2 linked regions of the Arabidopsis thaliana genome follow. The protein of the gene in region 2 interacts with the protein of the main gene of each other region in a biochemical or structural test. Each region holds a gene or a part of one and is shown on either strand. Other genes may lie near its edges.

The links.
Region 1: of the proteins of SARK (region 2) and AT5G02760, one has a biochemical effect on the other in vitro, tested with the Arabidopsis thaliana proteins (one study listed by BioGRID).

What each region holds. Positions count from the first base shown.
Region 1 is NC_003076.8:621,014-628,881, forward strand, and holds AT5G02760 (Protein phosphatase 2C family protein), read left to right. Parts: upstream 1-4,240; 5' UTR 4,241-4,363; coding exon 4,364-4,655; intron 4,656-4,730; coding exon 4,731-5,092; intron 5,093-5,249; coding exon 5,250-5,486; intron 5,487-5,582; coding exon 5,583-5,804; 3' UTR 5,805-6,111; downstream 6,112-7,868. Other genes in the region: MOS11 (Protein MODIFIER OF SNC1 11), read right to left, coding at 7,088-7,117, 7,219-7,282, 7,390-7,527, 7,620-7,706, 7,830-7,868. UniProt on the Arabidopsis thaliana protein: Dephosphorylates and represses plasma membrane H(+)-ATPases (PM H(+)-ATPases, e.g. AHA1 and AHA2), thus influencing negatively plant growth and fitness. Promotes the apical hook maintenance of etiolated seedlings.
Region 2 is NC_003075.7:14,907,442-14,916,666, forward strand, and holds SARK (Leucine-rich repeat protein kinase family protein), read right to left. Parts: upstream 4,006-9,225; 5' UTR 3,600-4,005; coding exon 3,488-3,599; intron 3,394-3,487; coding exon 3,261-3,393; intron 3,176-3,260; coding exon 3,104-3,175; intron 3,009-3,103; coding exon 2,865-3,008; intron 2,746-2,864; coding exon 2,674-2,745; intron 2,591-2,673; coding exon 2,531-2,590; intron 2,430-2,530; coding exon 2,329-2,429; intron 2,253-2,328; coding exon 2,121-2,252; intron 2,045-2,120; coding exon 1,700-2,044; intron 1,623-1,699; coding exon 1,243-1,622; intron 1,148-1,242; coding exon 752-1,147; 3' UTR 501-751; downstream 1-500. Other genes in the region: ATG18B (autophagy 18 B-like protein), read right to left, coding at 91-152.

The DNA.
Region 1 (7,868 bases), on a different chromosome or scaffold from region 2:
CTAATATACTATGTAGAATAATATATCAAGTAATTGTCATAGATAGGAATGTTTGGACCGTTTTGATATATCGAAATAGTTTATATTTTGAGAAAGACACATTTGTGTTAATAGTACGATGAATTTCGTAAATATGTTGTAATAGAAACCAAATTAATAGTGACCAAAAAAAATAAAATTAATTGTTTCATGTATATGAGCATTGGTTTCAATCATGTATTTGTTCCCATATTCTATAGTCAATCGGTGGGAAAATGAAATCAAAAGATGACATGTCGACAACAAACAAAAGATCGCGTTACAATTTTTTTCCCCATATCACCATCCATTGATGATTTCACGTTGCTCTTCAGTCTCGGGACTAATGGGCTTAAATACATTTTTGAGCTTTCTATATTCGGGCCTTACGTAGCCCAATACAAGTTAGATAATTTAATGGAAGCTTGCTTTACATTCTCAAAGCTGGGCCGATTCTACCAGGACAAATAACGGTTCATATAACTAACTATGATATAAATATCATAACGAAAATAATATCTAAATAAAGTTTATTTTGATCAAATCAATCAATTAAATAGTGTTGATCAAAAAGTCATGTGCATCTATTCTATCGTGAAAACTGGAAAGTCACGAAGAAAAACAAAAGAAGATAAATATTCTAATATTAATAATATTATATAAGATTCGAAGAGTATTTTTCTCAACAAATAATTGAACAAATCATCAACATATCTATCAAACTACCATCGAAGGTTTTGAGATAAATAGAAATGTCTTGAATCTTGATGAGAACCAACTAATAGTTGCACACTTGCACGTAAAAATTGCGCTCGTCAAAATGAAAATACGCGATTAAAACAAGTGATTCCTGGTGAACGCAGATCAAACTGTCGAAGTATAGCTACTTCGATAATTTGTATGTTTTGACAGTGGATTCGATGATATATTCTCTTGTTTTGAAAACAAAGTTCCAATATTGTTATTAACGTAATAACGGTTGGTCTAATTCGCAAATCCACAAATTTTATGTAGCTTACTGTTAATAATTAATATAATATACATATGTAATATGTGCGTAGTTTTTGGGGTATGAGCTATAAATAAAATTCTAATGTATTAACTACATGTACATAGAAAATATTTTTTTAAATTGCAGAAAATAATGATGATGGATACTAAGTTGCAAGCTAAGATGAGAGATCTAATGAAAGGTACAAAATCAAAGTGATAATAGTACGTCCAGATACAATTGCAACTAGCTAGATAACAAAATCAAAATCTAATATTATATAAAAATTTTAGTTAATTGCAATGTGATGAGATGATAATTGATAAAGTACTACGACAATACGAAGAACACTAGTTACTAGATAGATAGTGTTGTGATAATATGTCAAGGTTTGGATCGACCAGACAATATGGGACCTTCACGATGTCTGTCTCATGTTTCCTGCATGCCATGCATTCTATTTACTCTCGTCTACTCTACGTGCCCACGTCTCCACTTTTATTCATTTTCTTATTTGTGATCAATCAAACCTAAAGAAAATGTTAGGCTAAATTGGATCTGTTTTCTTATATATCGGTACGCTTAAACACATATAATTAGCGTTTAAAGATTCCTTTTCTTAAAGGTAGGTTCAGTTTACTTGTAACCTAGGTTTCTCGAAAGATGAGATGTACTTAAATGCTCGTTTATATTTTACTCCAAATTAAATACTGTAGTTGATAACATCAGTTTTCAAATTAGAGACAGTGTCGATGCGAGTGCATTCAATTTTCTTATTAATTGATAAAACCATATTATTCGATTTGTTTTATTTCTTTCTGAGGAGGTTTGTCTTATACTTGCATCGATGCATGCGATGTAAACTTTGTAGAAGCAATTCCAACCATGGATATCGCAGATACTGAAGTAACTCCATAATCAATCATTTACATATCTATCATATACATTAATATTGAAAGTGTTTTGATATTGGTATTTCTCTATATGAAAAAACAAGACAACCCGAGACATTTTAACTTCAGATTATAGTGTGATATCGAATACCAAATTGACCTTTCTATCGAAGATAAACCTTAATATAGATAAAGACATATAGTTACTAAAGAAGTAAGTTAATGAATGTTGAATAAAAACACCAATGGTAAGCTAAATATTAAACAATACAAAAGAGAAAACAAAGCTAATAAGTAAGAAGTAAGAAGCTAAAGAGATAGACTGACATCCATGCTCCCTCAACCAAAAGACAAAACACAGTGCATCAATGGCCCAGCTGTCACCACAACTCTTTTTTTTTTTGATATAGGAACTTGTTTTGTTTTCTATTCTATAATATTTATTTATTCTTCTTTCTTGTTATCTTTTTAAATCAAAACGATCGAGACTGAAGTTGTTCAATTTTTTTCGTAATAAGGATAGGAAATTAATTAAGGATAGAGAGCACATGAAAATACACTGTATGTACTGTAATGGTGCATTCAAGGACCCTTCAATACGTTCCAAGGCCACATGTGATTCTCACAAAATGGTTCAATATTTATGAAAGTTATTTGTGAATATATGTTAAGATAAAATGTACCTGGACCATTCTTTCTATTTGTATTAGACTATCTTACACGTGATTTTCTTACTCTTTTGATTTGACTTCAATTAGATCTATATATTGCATCAAACTTTTTACCAAATTATGCGTCAAGTCACACCAATTGATGAGGTTGGCCTTATCGAACTAGTGGAACCGTCATATGCGAAACCAAATATAAGAAATGAATGAAAGACCTTTCAACAAAATTAATAAGCAAGTAGAAGTAAATCCAATATCAATATAACAATTGGTTAAACCTAAATTATATGCATCCAATACGAAAATTCTTTTTTTGGTATCTTTTAATCCGTTTATTATATTTGTGGAGCCTAAGTTGCGGATCCACTTGTATTCCTTATTTGAATCATTGTTATCATTTCTCATTGTTTGTGACTCGTGAGCTAGAAGAAACAAAAACAAAAGGATAACGTAATTTTGATATTTAAAGTAAACCACTATAAATCATTGTGTGTGTGTTTTTTCTTGTTTTAAAAGATCGAATTAGGGAGCCTAACATGTTTTTGTCTCAAGAGATTATTATCATTAAAAAAAACAAGTGGAAGTGGAAGTTGTGTAACCCACTTGTTGAATTCTTAACTTCGAAGCACAACAAAAAGATAGACGAAAAACGAAAACTCGATCTAACTTCGACATATGCATTAGATAACATATAGAAATTTAAACAATCTCGTTGATGAAATTGGTCTATCAACACACGACAGTGGTTCTCTCTACAGTAGCATCAAATCGGTGGATCCTTATGAACAGAAAAAACGAGGAGGGACAGAGGAAGGCCAATGAGGGGTCATGCAAAATGGAACTTAGCAAAAGTACCAAAAAGATCCATCCTCTTTGAAAATTCATTTCAGCCCCATAATTATCCATGACATGAATTTCGATCTGAATCTCACAACAAGTAAGAGATCAGCTTTTGATAACATTAAAGAAAAAGGTAAAAAAAAGAAAGACGAGAGACTGAGAAAAGGGCAAAGACCTGTAGGGGTTAAGACAGCTAAGAGTGTTCCTCAGTCGCCCCACAAATGTCTTCTCTCCTCTCTCTTCAGTCTTTCTCAGCTCTCAAATCTTTAAATGGTTCCAAGTTCAATGCTCCCAAAACCCACGCCCACACATGCATCCTATGACCTTTCCTTTTCTATCCATTTTCTTCCCACAAATTACCACTTTGCAAACAAAAGCCAAAAACTCATTTACAAGATGAGTTAATAAAGACACTAACACACAACCAATGTGAAAACAGACGTTTACATGAGATATTGTTACCTCTAAGAAGTCATTAATCATATAATGAGAACATTCTTGCTTCCTAAGTTTTTACAAGATTATTAACCTCTAAGAAAGGAGAGACACTTTTAACGCAATAATAACTACATGATGTTATAAATATAGGAGAGAGTAGAAAAGAATATGACAGCCCTACTAAGACAGAGAATCATCATCGAACAGTAAAGAGGAGAATCTCTGAATATCCACTTTAAACTACTGCCCTCTTGTCTTAACTCTCAGAACCATTTAATTTTTCAGTTATTTTGACCCATACCCTTTTTGGCCTCTTTCCCTGCTTTCCAACACCTTCACACTTACTCTAGGGCTTCCACGGCTATATATATATGGTCCCTTCCTTAAACTTGTATCTCATAATTCACAACCAGCACTGCTACTACTAGTTTATCATTATTCCATCAATTTATTCTATATAGAGTTCTTCTCTGTTTATATTACGATATTGCTCGAAGATTACATACCTGAGAAAGATGGTTAAACCCTGTTGGAGAATAGGTGCCGGTATGGAGAGAAGTAAGATCAATCCCACAAAGGTTGATGGTTTGACATGGTACAAAGATCTTGGTCTTCACACCTTTGGAGAGTTTTCCATGGCAATGATCCAAGCCAACAGTGTGATGGAGGATCAGTGCCAGATCGAATCAGGGCCGCTTACATTCAACAATCCGACAGTTCAAGGCACATTTGTTGGAGTTTACGATGGCCATGGAGGTCCAGAGGCTTCCAGATTCATTGCAGACAACATCTTCCCCAAGTTAAAGAGTAAGACACCGACTTTTTTTATTTCCTTTATTGTTGAATCTGCCAGGCACACTAACACTGGTCTCACATGAACAGAGTTTGCGTCCGAGGGTAGGGAGATTTCAGAGCAGGTGATCAGCAAAGCATTTGCCGAGACAGACAAAGATTTTCTCAAGACAGTGACGAAGCAATGGCCTACGAACCCACAGATGGCATCAGTGGGGTCATGTTGCTTGGCAGGAGTGATATGCAACGGATTGGTGTATATTGCAAACACGGGAGATTCCAGAGCTGTGTTGGGCAGATCTGAGAGAGGTGGAGTGAGAGCTGTTCAGTTATCTGTAGAGCACAATGCCAATCTTGAGTCTGCGAGGCAAGAGCTATGGTCATTGCATCCTAATGACCCCACCATTCTTGTGATGAAGCACCGCTTGTGGCGTGTGAAAGGCGTTATCCAGGTAAACATTCATACATGATAACGCATCTGATAACCTGCACAGAGTTTTGCTTCATCAGTTTCTATGAAATACAAAAGCTTAAGAAAATCATATATTGAAGCCTATCTTGTGTAAGGATGTAAAACTGACTAGCAAATGTGTTATGACCTTTAACCAGGTCACAAGATCCATAGGTGATGCATACCTCAAAAGAGCAGAGTTCAACAGAGAACCTTTGCTGCCCAAATTCAGACTACCAGAACATTTCACTAAGCCAATCCTTAGTGCGGATCCATCAGTCACCATTACGCGGCTTAGCCCACAAGATGAGTTTATAATTCTTGCTTCAGATGGGCTTTGGGAGCATCTTAGCAACCAGGAAGCTGTTGATATTGTGCATAATTCCCCTCGACAAGTAAGTTCAATGCCTAACCCATATACAAATACGTTACATACTAGCACAATGCACACCAAGAACTATTCGTTAATACTAATACCTTCACAATCACAGGGAATAGCAAGGAGACTACTTAAAGCTGCATTGAAGGAAGCAGCAAAGAAAAGAGAGATGAGATACTCAGACCTAACAGAGATCCATCCTGGTGTAAGAAGGCATTTCCACGACGATATAACCGTTATTGTGGTCTATCTCAACCCCCACCCGGTCAAAACCAATTCTTGGGCTTCACCTCTGTCAATTAGAGGGGGATACCCGATGCATTCAACATCATGAACAGATCTTACGGCAAAAACACTTCCTGTGTCAAGGGCAATAAATTGGAGCCAGGGTCAAGAAAAGAACTAGTAGTATAGCTAGAAACAATATTAAGTTATGAGATCTTTGATATGTTCTCCACAAGAAAACATGAATTCTCATGTACCCCTGTATGCAAAATTATACACGAGGGTACTTGCATGCAATATCATCAATGTCAACGCTGGTAAAATTCGAAAGCGTTGCAACATATTGGAGTTTAGGCACAAAACAGTAGATAGCCAAGAAATGTGTTGAAACTTAACATTACATTCCCTTTATAAAAGTTTTCTGGCGCTTCATTCAAAATTAACAGAAAGCAAGTATCAACAAAAGTTTATCTAAAATCTATTACAGAAACAAAGAAACTGTGTAGCATCAGAAGCCAGCAAAAACGCAGTCCCACGAACAGAGAATTTAGAATCTGAGGCTCTCTTTCCTTCAACTGCCATAGAGACCAGAGATATGGAAACCAACAAGTACATCTATAGTTCTAATGATGTCTTACATGACAAAGAAATTCTGAAGTAGCGGCTTGAGAGGTCATATGAAATTAAGTAACCTAAGAACGACACATGTTTATGGGATCCATTTTGCATGCAATATTCGCAATCAAGCACAGAACACCAGTAGACCAGCTAAATTTCGTAACCAAGACTAAGAAAAACTAGCAAAATAGGCACAACTCAAAAGTAATCAACACTTCTAATTTCTAACTAGTTCAAAACAGTAAAAAAATGTCTCCCTTACTTAAATATTTGCTGCATGCAGTACAAATTTTCAATTGCTGGTGCTTGTGCTTGATACGAACATGCAATACTAAAAGGACCATCCACATTCCAATATATTAAAACGAAATAAAGTTATTAATCAAACTATACTTACCACTCCAAGAACCTGCAACATGGAAAACATCAATACCAGCCACTTCAGAATTCCTAGGTCCTAAACACATTGATAATTGTCATTTCAGACAATCAGAACTATAGGTTACTTATTGGTTTCTCAAGATCTCATCTGGTGATTGCTCCACGACCGAACTTAGTAAAGATACTACACACATGGACTTCTAATTCAGAAATAAAGAGAGAATGAAGCAGCCAGAGAGGGACTCATAAAACGCTAGCACACTACCTGCCCATATAACAGATTATGGAGTCAAATACGAGAAAAAATCGTATCAACAAGAGTTTGCAATGCAATAAGAATTATCTGGAAAAACTCACCTAACTACAAAGACGGAAAAACTTTATTGAGGAACCTTAGGCAGCGCTTCCTGATACAGCTGCCTCCTGATGAAACAAAGAGTTCAACAAGAGATATCATTAGCTTTTCTATCAATTCTCTCATTCTATCAGATGGACGACACAACAGAAGTTAAAAGACTGTTTACCTTGCCAATAATTTGCTTCTCAGGTAAATCTGAAGATGCATCTGCTGAAGCCTCTTTTGAAAACCTAATGATGGGAAATTCACAAACCACAAAAATCAATAATTAGAAAGCATGGCACAGTACTTCAGTTCTCAGGGACTAGAAGAATTTGAGGTTGCATAGAAAAAGTACCTCAATGCTCTAGCTTTGCGCTTATTTTCTTCAGCAGAATCAACTTTAGTCTCTTTTCCAAAACGAGCGAGCCTAGCTTTCTTCTTTGCCTCTTCCTCAGTCTTATCAGTAGTAGAGGTCGCAGAAGGAACCCCAAATCTGTTCAAAATACAAAGCGAGTATGAAACTCCTTTTTCTCTAAACCCAACCAATAAACAACTATCAAGTACAAAGAAAGTATTGTGACATACCTATCAGCTCTTGCTTTTCGCTTCAATTCCTCTGCTTTCTTCGTTCCCTCTGAGCCATTCACCACTGCTGCAGCTACAGTACCAAACCTGCACCGAAGGTGAAATTCCTTACAACATAGGTTTGACAATAAGTATAAAAAATTCCGTAACCCTAATTTTCGAAACCCCTAAATTCGACGGAATCTAACGAATAAATATTAAAGTCTTTACCTCTCAGCACGAGAATTGCGCTTCTCCTCTTCGGTCAAT
Region 2 (9,225 bases):
GTTATCTGAGAAGAACTTTTCCTCGAAAATCTACTAAGAGAATCGAATTCGCTATCTTCAACGATTTTCAAATAAATAAGAAGAACTCACCTGTTATCTTGATTGAAAGAAACACAATAGATAGGAGAAGGAAGAGAGGACAGATTCGCCATGTCTCCCAAATTGTTTAAGCAGCTGTCTTAATGTTTTCTGCTTTTTATATATGTTCTGTTTTTCGTCTTCTTCTTCTCAAAACGCTGTCGTTTCTTCTCTTCTGTTACTTTTCAGAACGACGACGTTTTCGATTGAGTGGGATAAGCTTTGTTTGGTTTGTGATGAGAACTGAAAATGACACATGAGAGTCAAAGTTGGACAAAAGTCGCAACACATTAAGCTTAAAGGACCACAAACACAAAGCAGCAGCTTATGATAACTACAAAAGATAAATTCTCAGGAATTGTTTGATACGATTTTGAGTATGTGTGAGAGAGAGCAAATCAGATTCTGGTCAAAAGAAAAGACTCAAACAAATCAGTCTCATAGTTTCTTCCTTTGTCATCATCATAATGTTAAAGGAAGCAAAATAATCATAGAAACTCACAATTAAAAGTTAATATATACATCATCAACATAACGAACACATAATCTCAAACTGTAGAGATATTTTTCATCAATTTTCACCACCATATACATGTCTATATTATAAAAGTGTAGAGCTTTTTTCATTGGATTGTTTGATCCATCGTAAAAATGATATCTTTCTTTCATTGTGTTATCTTGGACCGGATAGTTCCATGGCAAAGGAATCTAAAGGCTGATGATCATCGTCATCATCGAAAGCCGAAGATCCAAACATTTGATAAGTTGGATCATTGCAATGTGCGTCAAGCCTTGAGACAGAAGTAGTAGACAGAGAAGAGATTGTCTTGAAAGAGATATTGGCATGGTAGAAATGTGAATGGTTATGCGAAGCAGCCCATCTCTCGGCTAATCCATCGCCTTCAAGCATCAAAACAACTTCAGACATTTTAGGACGATGAGCTGGCAGATATTGTGTGCATAGCAAAGCCACTTGCAACATCTCTCCAACTTCAATCTTATCGTAGTTAGTTCCGAGTTCTCGATCCAATAGTTCCTCTACTTTCATCTCTTCATGTAATTTCCTCACCTAAACCAATGTTACAACAGCATCCGGAGAAAATGTTAATTTGGTTGATCTTATGAAGTAATCAAGAAAGTGTACTTCTGAGTGTCATTTCTTACCCATTCAAGCATAGCTCCTTTCTGGCTAACGGTTTTACCAAACTCAAGAGCTCTCAGTCCGGTTATGAGCTCGAGCAATAGTATACCGAACCCAAACACATCGGTTTTCTCAGAAGACTGACCAGTGGAGAGATATTCAGGTGCAATGTGGCCAACCGTACCACGGACCGCAGTTGTGACATGAGAATCCGCATGGTTAAGGAGCTTTGCGAGTCCAAAGTCACCAACAACAGCTTCAAAGCACTCGTCTAAGAGAATATTAGCTGCCTTTACATCTCTATGAATGATCTTGGGATCACATTGCTCATGTAGATACAACAAACCTCTCGCTGCACCAATTGCTATCCTCTTCCTCATGTTCCAGTCCAATGCCGGTTTAGCTACAACAGTTAAACAAAATTGGTTAAAACTCATCGAAAATGAGATTTGGACTGATGGTTCAAGACATTATACTAACATTTAAGCTTAGAGGCGACGCTTCCATTAGGCATGTAAGGGTAAACAAGAAGCCTTTCACCAGAAGTTGCGCAATAACCAATTAACCGAAGCAGATTCTTATGAACAGCTAAGCTAATCATCTCTAGCTCCATACGAAACTGTGAATCCCCTGAGGTTCCATTAATATCCTTCAACCGTTTCACTGCCACCATTGTCCCATCTCCAAGCTTGCCTCTGTACACATTACCGAATCCACCAGCGCCGAGAATGTTCTTGGAACTGAAACCATCTGTATAAACATGGAGTTCTCTGAATGTGAAGCTTCTTAGATTCCCAAGTCCTTGAAGCCCTTCCTCTTGTTTATCTGCTAAAAGCAAAACTAAAAACTCAACATCTTCCTGAATCAAAGTTATATAAGCAACAAGCTCAAATCGACGAACCGTTTAAGTTAAGGATCAGTAGCCTTCTTTGTTTCTTTCGGTACCAACAAAAGGACCCGAGAGCAAGGACTAGTATAACAACAGAGCCAAGGCTTACACTAAGAGCTATTGCCAATCTATTAGACCTGCGTCCTACACACACACTCAAGTATTGATTAATGAAAGGATCATTACAATGATGAAAACACTGCAAGAACGAGACTTTTACCTGATGAAGAGCTCAAAGAAACAGAAAGTGGACTTGCATTGATTGATCCAGAACAAATCTCAGGTGGGTTGCTTCTACAAATCAAAGGATTACCAGCAACGCTACAAATTCAAAAGGAAAGCAGAAGCAAGACTTAGTCTTGACTTCAACTACAAGAATTTGTGAAATCACTTCAAATTTTGAAACTTAAGGTTTATTATACTTGAAAGTCCTTGCTGGGAATTTAGGAACAGGGCCACTGAGATTGTTGTAAGACAAGTCCCTGAGTTTCAAAAGAATTTAAATTTCAGACAAAAAAAAACAAAACACTTCAGTAGGTGAAAGGACAAATCTGTATACACTCACAAGAAGGAGAGGTGAGGAATTTGGGACAAAGAAGCAGGGAAGGGCCCAGACAAAGAGTTGTTGTTGAGTCTCCTATTGGAAATTCAATTCGTACGAGGTTATTAAGATGATTAATGAACCGATGAAAACAAATCATCATTACATTGTAAACAAGATTGAAGAACAGAGGAGAGAAGCAAAGCTAAGCTCACAGATATTGAAGGCTGCTTAGCTGGTCGATGGAAACAGGGATGTCACCGGAGAATCGGTTGTTGGAAAGATCCAAGGTTTGTAATTTGGGTAGAAAACCGAGCTCCGGTGGAATTTTGCCGGAGATGTTGTTATTTTGCAATGACCTTCAAACAAAGCAAAAAAATTGGAATTGAGAAACAAGCAAAAAAGACAAACTTTATATTATAGAAAACAAGATCCGAGGATGTCGTAATCTTACACTTGTCGGAGATTTGTGAGATTTCCGATAGACTCAGATAAACCTCCCGAGAGAGACTGGCTCGGCGCTCCTCTACCATTGAGAGATAGAGAGAGAAATTGTCGCCATTAATGAACTCTAAAAGCAGAAAACAAACTCGGAAGAAAAGAAAGCTCACAGTCCAATGACGAGGTTGTCGGGAGAGCAAGTGATCATAGCCCAGCTACAAGGATCAACTGAAAACTCGTCCCAATTGTTCAAAGCTCCATGAGGATCATGCAAATTGTTCCTTATACTTATCAACGCCTCAACTGTAAAAAAAAAAAAAAACGGATTTTTGTTATAGAGTTGAGAAAAAAGATCCAATTTTTAAACTAAAGTAACAATAAAAGAAGCAAATTTTACCTTCAGGGTTTCTGGGCTCAGAAGATAGAGTGAGAGTAGAGAAACAGAGGAACAAGAACGAGTAAAGGAGATGAATTTGAATCTTCATGGTCTTCTTTGTTACTACTACCATGGAAGATTTTAGTTACGAGAGGTTAACAATAATTTTGAAGAGAAGAGAGACAGCATTACTTTATTTTTTTTCGGGGTAGTGACCACAAACACACATAGAAAAAGAAGAGAAAGCAAAAGCAAACAAAGCAAAAAGAAGAAGAAGGAGAAGAGATCTCTGCTTTTTTATTTTGAAAACAAGAAAGAAAGAAATCTCGGGTTTAGTAAACAAGTCTTTACGTTCGTCTTCTTCTCAAACAAACAGTCTCTCTCAGAGGAGATGAGTTTGTTGCTGAGAAAAGGTTTAAGCCGAAAAACGTTTAAATGAGAGGGAGAGAGAGGCAAGAGAGTGACATTTGTAGAGAGTGAATCAGGGGATGCTGATACGGACTGTCGGACCCGGGATGGTGGATGCTGGTCTACTCCAGTCTCTCTCTCACTCTTTTTCTTTGTCTTTTTTGTTCTTCTTAATGCCAATTTTTTTGTATATTTGGAACCATATATGTTTTTCTAATTTAGTCTTAATAAGTCCGATTAATAGATATAAAACTAAATTAGACTAAATTACATATAAATTTTAAAACTAAATTAGACTAAGTTTTAAAACAGTACAAAAAATTTAATAGATGTAAAACGCAAAAAAAAAAAAAGCGGTATATAATTACGATACTTAGGGCCTGTTTGTTTCTTCATCCAGATGGATTATTTAGATGGAGATGAAAAATGATGTTTGCTTTTGACAATTTAAGAGACCATTTGGATGAATCAGTTGGATGATCCATCTCAATGATTTTTAAAAATTAAGCAAAATTATGAAACTCATTTGGATAGACTTGATAGGACCATTTGAATGGAGATGGTTTACTCAAAAACAACAAATGACAAATATACCCTCTTTTAATAATGTTAATTTTCTATAACTTTCTAATTTAATATAAAAATTTTAATTACATATTAAACCAAAAAAACATTCTAAGAATCATGAAATCGCGGACTATTATTTTACGTCAAAATTGTAAATTCATTTTCTCCGCAAAAACCATAAAATCATTTTTCTCGCCAAAACGTTAAATTCATACTTTCCCGCCAAAACCGCAAAATTTTGTTTTCCCGCGAAAACCGTAAAATTATTTTTTCCGCCAAAACCGCAAAATCATGTTTTCCCGCCAAAACCGTAAAATCATGTTTTCCCGCCAAAACCGTAAAATTATTTTTCCCGTCAAAACCGCAAAATCATGTTTTTCCGTCAAAACCGTAAAATCATGTTTTCCCGCCAAAACCGCAAAATTATGTTTTCCCGCTAAAACTGCAAAATTTTGTTTTCCCGCTAAAACCGCAAAATTTTGTTTTCCCGCCAAAACCGTAGAATCATTTTTCCCGCCAAAACCGTAAAATACTTTCATTTGTCAAAGTGAAAGCATGAGTATTTTAGTTATTTTTATCTAAATGAAAATGTGGATGAATTACAAAATAATCAAATAAAAAAATATTCATTTAAATGCATCATTTAGAAAAAATATCAAATAATCAAACAAACATATTCAAATAAACCATTCAAATGAATCATGTAAATGGATCATTAGAATGCAAATGCTAACTGATCAAACAAACAGGGCCTTAGTTAACAACTAAACCCAATATTTTTTGGTAATTTTTACCGGCATGATAGATCTATTATTTCTATTAAAATGGATTGGTTAAACGGTAAGCTAAACTATGATAAGAGCAAATGGTACAGAAGGGGTAAAAAAAAATTTACATAGAAGTTATATATAAAGATTTTTAAAAAGAAACATCTGCATATTGTACATGGACGATGAATTGACCAAAATCGACTTGGGTTTACATTCAATAATTTTCTAATTTTATTATGTGTAAAAAAATAATTTATATTTTATAAAACAAATTGGAGAACATTGATGTAATGTAGTAGGACTACCAGTGACAGGCTAGAGGACTGATGCACTCTAAAATAGCTTCATCCTCTTTCCTCTTTTGTCTTCTTCTCTAAAGAAATCCATCTTAATGAAAACAGTATTTCACCATAAGATGAAATTTGATATTTGATATCTCCCTACCTAAATTTGAACTTTAATGATAATGATATTTAATGATTCGCATATAAAGAAATTATTGTATAAATATGTCAAAACGAAACAACATGAGATAGTGATACGAAGAGAAACTTGCAACAAGTAACAAATGCCTGAAATAGGTGAATCCACACACTTGCCCTGATGAGGTTGTGTTGTTACATTATTTATGATAAGTCCCTATACTTTTGATTTCTTTCCTTTTTCGCCTTTCTAATTTCTTTGTCATTATTTTGGCCCACCTCCTCCTACTTTCGTATTAATTTAATTGAAGGGTCTAATAATTACATCTTTGTCTTTTTATCTTATTTTATTACTTTTCTATCTTTTTCCCTTTCAATCACATCTTACTTTACTGCAAGAACATTCATGACCCCCACGTTTCGAATGTATGTTTTTTGATAAAGTTTTCGGTAAATATGCTAGAAAATGAATTTAAGTTTTTGTTAAAATGTACTTACTAATAAATAATCAATCATGCATTGCCCATTTGCATCGTGCGTAACGGTGCACTCAAACTCGTAGTCAATAAGGAAAAGAAAAAGGTCTTGACTACAAAAAACAAGTGTTATTGGAAATTTTGTATGGCTTTTTATAAAGAAAATGAATCTTGTGTTCACCGAAAATGTTAGTGAATGACAACATTAAAATGTCACAAACCATAAAGAAGTACGGAGTTGAAAGTGGCAAAAAATGCCGAATTAGGTTGAGCAAGATGAGGTAAGCATCGAGATGCTTTGTAACCAATTACCTTGTTTTTTTATGTCACATTATATCAATGATCCATTTACATCATGCATGCATCTGTGTACTTTGTTTCACATATATATTACATAAATGCCCTAATTAACTTTCATAATATGTTATTCGCACACATGGTTTGATAAAACTTATGACAAAATCGTTTTTATTCACGGTCTATATATAAATGAAATCCTATTCTTACGGGAGAAAAATGTTGCATATTTCCCAAATAATTTAACATGACAGTTAGATTTATCGTGTGGCTATAACAATCCAACCGAATTTGTAAGACTTAAATTTTTTGATCTTCCACTAAAGTGGAGAAGATTGGATGATGGGACAAATCTCGCTGCAGATCAATAGTATAATGCGTTATTGGCATCTGTTCCAATATTCTTACAAAATTGAAGTATCATGTAAAGCATACGGAAAAAGGAGGAAATAATTAATGTTCATGAAAGGATTACAAAAGTAGAATCATCTTCCCAATAATTTGCACCACATACAAAGTTTGGATATTTTCCTCTCTAATTCTCTTAGTAAGGTTTTGTTTCATCTTACTGTTCCCAGGACCATATTCTGGATATGCACAAATTGCACCAATTATATATGCTATTCTCTTGAAGTCCTTTTGTTAATATTGTTTTTTGGTATCAGGGCCAAGTTTGTGTGACTAGCTCAATGTGTAGCAGAACATTATTGTTGTGCATCCTAGGCCCTAGCAATGGAGAATGAGTCATCAATCATATATTTAATTAGTGGAAGTTGAAGTACTTGATTTTAGCTTTTACTAAATATTGTGATAATTAATTGAATTTTACCAACTATGTGTGATTAACTGTTTCCAAATTCTTCATTTTGCCGTCTTATTTTTTTATCAACCGTACCATCTTCCCAATCTTGTGAATATCAGTATGAGCATCATCACAGCATGGGTTTTACGTGAGAAGTTAGTGAATTTACGTAAAAATGAAAACTTTTGTTTTGGTTTTTTAAATTTACGTAAAAAATGTAAATATATACTATAATATATTATTTTTGTTGGTCAAGATATAGTATAATATATTTAAACTGAAAAAAGGAGTAGAAAAGTTGAAGTTAAAGTAAAGGAAAAAAGAGAGAGAAAGGGGAAGGAAATCTTCGTCGGAGTGCGTTTATTCTCCTGCGATTTCCCATTGCTCATATGGTCGACCTGATTCTTCCACGTTCTATAATCTTTCTACTTCTTTAGGAGTATATTATACTCATAGACTTAAGCAACTGAGCATTGATACAAGAAAACTACATACTTAAGTAAGCATGTGTCAGGAATAAATTGAACTGACTGCTTTAGTGGGTTAGTAGTTACTAGTTACAATCTTTTTTCTTAATATAAAGATGAAAAGGACAAATGGAGTACATACCTAGGATTTGAACTTGTGTATATTTTATAGATTTTGTACCAAAAGGTAATTTTAGATTTTACTTCACTTCATATTTTTCCTACCTTAAAAATCCTGAAAAGAAAATTCATACTGAAGACATTATTGAACACAATTATAATAATTTTGTTAACTAATAGTCTAATACCAAAAAAGAAATGACATAAAGGACACAAGAAACAAATAACAGAGAATTTGAAACCAAAATGAATATAAGTGTAGAACAAAAAAGGGAAATAAACTATTATTTCAAAATAAGGGTGATCCAGTAAAGTGTAGACCAATCCCGGACCTAAATTCCAATCTTTTTTTTTTTTTACAGCAAATTCCAATCATTTCAAATTGTCTAAAAATTTGTATGTAAAAACCACTTTAAAATCATTAACAAAATGGACCATTTGACAAAATAATGGACATAATGCATTGTTAAAACTAAAACCTAATCGGATGAGGAAGAGGGGCTCATGGGATAACAGGCCCAAAATCTGAGCCCAATCAACAACATCGTTTGAGAAAAATCTTTGTTCTATCCCATGAGCTCAATTTCTTCGTGTATCCTAATCCCTAAATCCTTAACCACCACAATGAAACAAAACATATGGTATTGATATTTTAATATGAAATCAATTTTCTGTGTTGTTATCGATTCATTAGTGCTTTCACATAAATATCCAGGTGTTGAATTGGTCCAAACCAATGCAAGTGACAAAGAACATTATATCTACCAACAACGAGGTTTCTTGTTCATAGTTCATACTAATCGTACATGTGTTTCTTTATCAACAACATTCGCTTACATCGCAAGAGATCTAAGTAACGGTATATGTACATTATTATCTACCTCGCTATATAGCTTTTGTTCGTGGGAAATTTCAATATATATGACATCTGTTTAACTAGTAAATGGTTGATACACGAAGACCCATGTGAAAATGACATTTTTTGTTTTGGGCTTCGAGAACACAAGAAACCCCACAAGGGGAGAGGGAATTCAAGATACTTCACTTTTCCCAAGAATATTGTAGCAAAAACCTAAAATACTAATTGTAGTTAAATATTTTTAAACGATACTACAAAATAAATTAGCAAGAAAATTCACATATAGCATCATGGTTAGGCTTACATTGATTTTGAGCTTGCTGCCAGAACAGTCATTTTTCTTGCATTGTACACTCTACCTCACTTTCTCTCTTCTAAATCTTTTTATTTTTGCTCACTTTAATTGCATCATTTAAACGTTTTTTAATCAAGCATGTACTGATTAGCAATAATCGACTAATGTACGTAGTGACTGAGAATAACCGTGAATAGTTTAACATATTGGTACATTTCCCTAATTTATTACAAAAACATAAAAAAAATCAAGCTATCCGATTTGGTGAAAGGCACA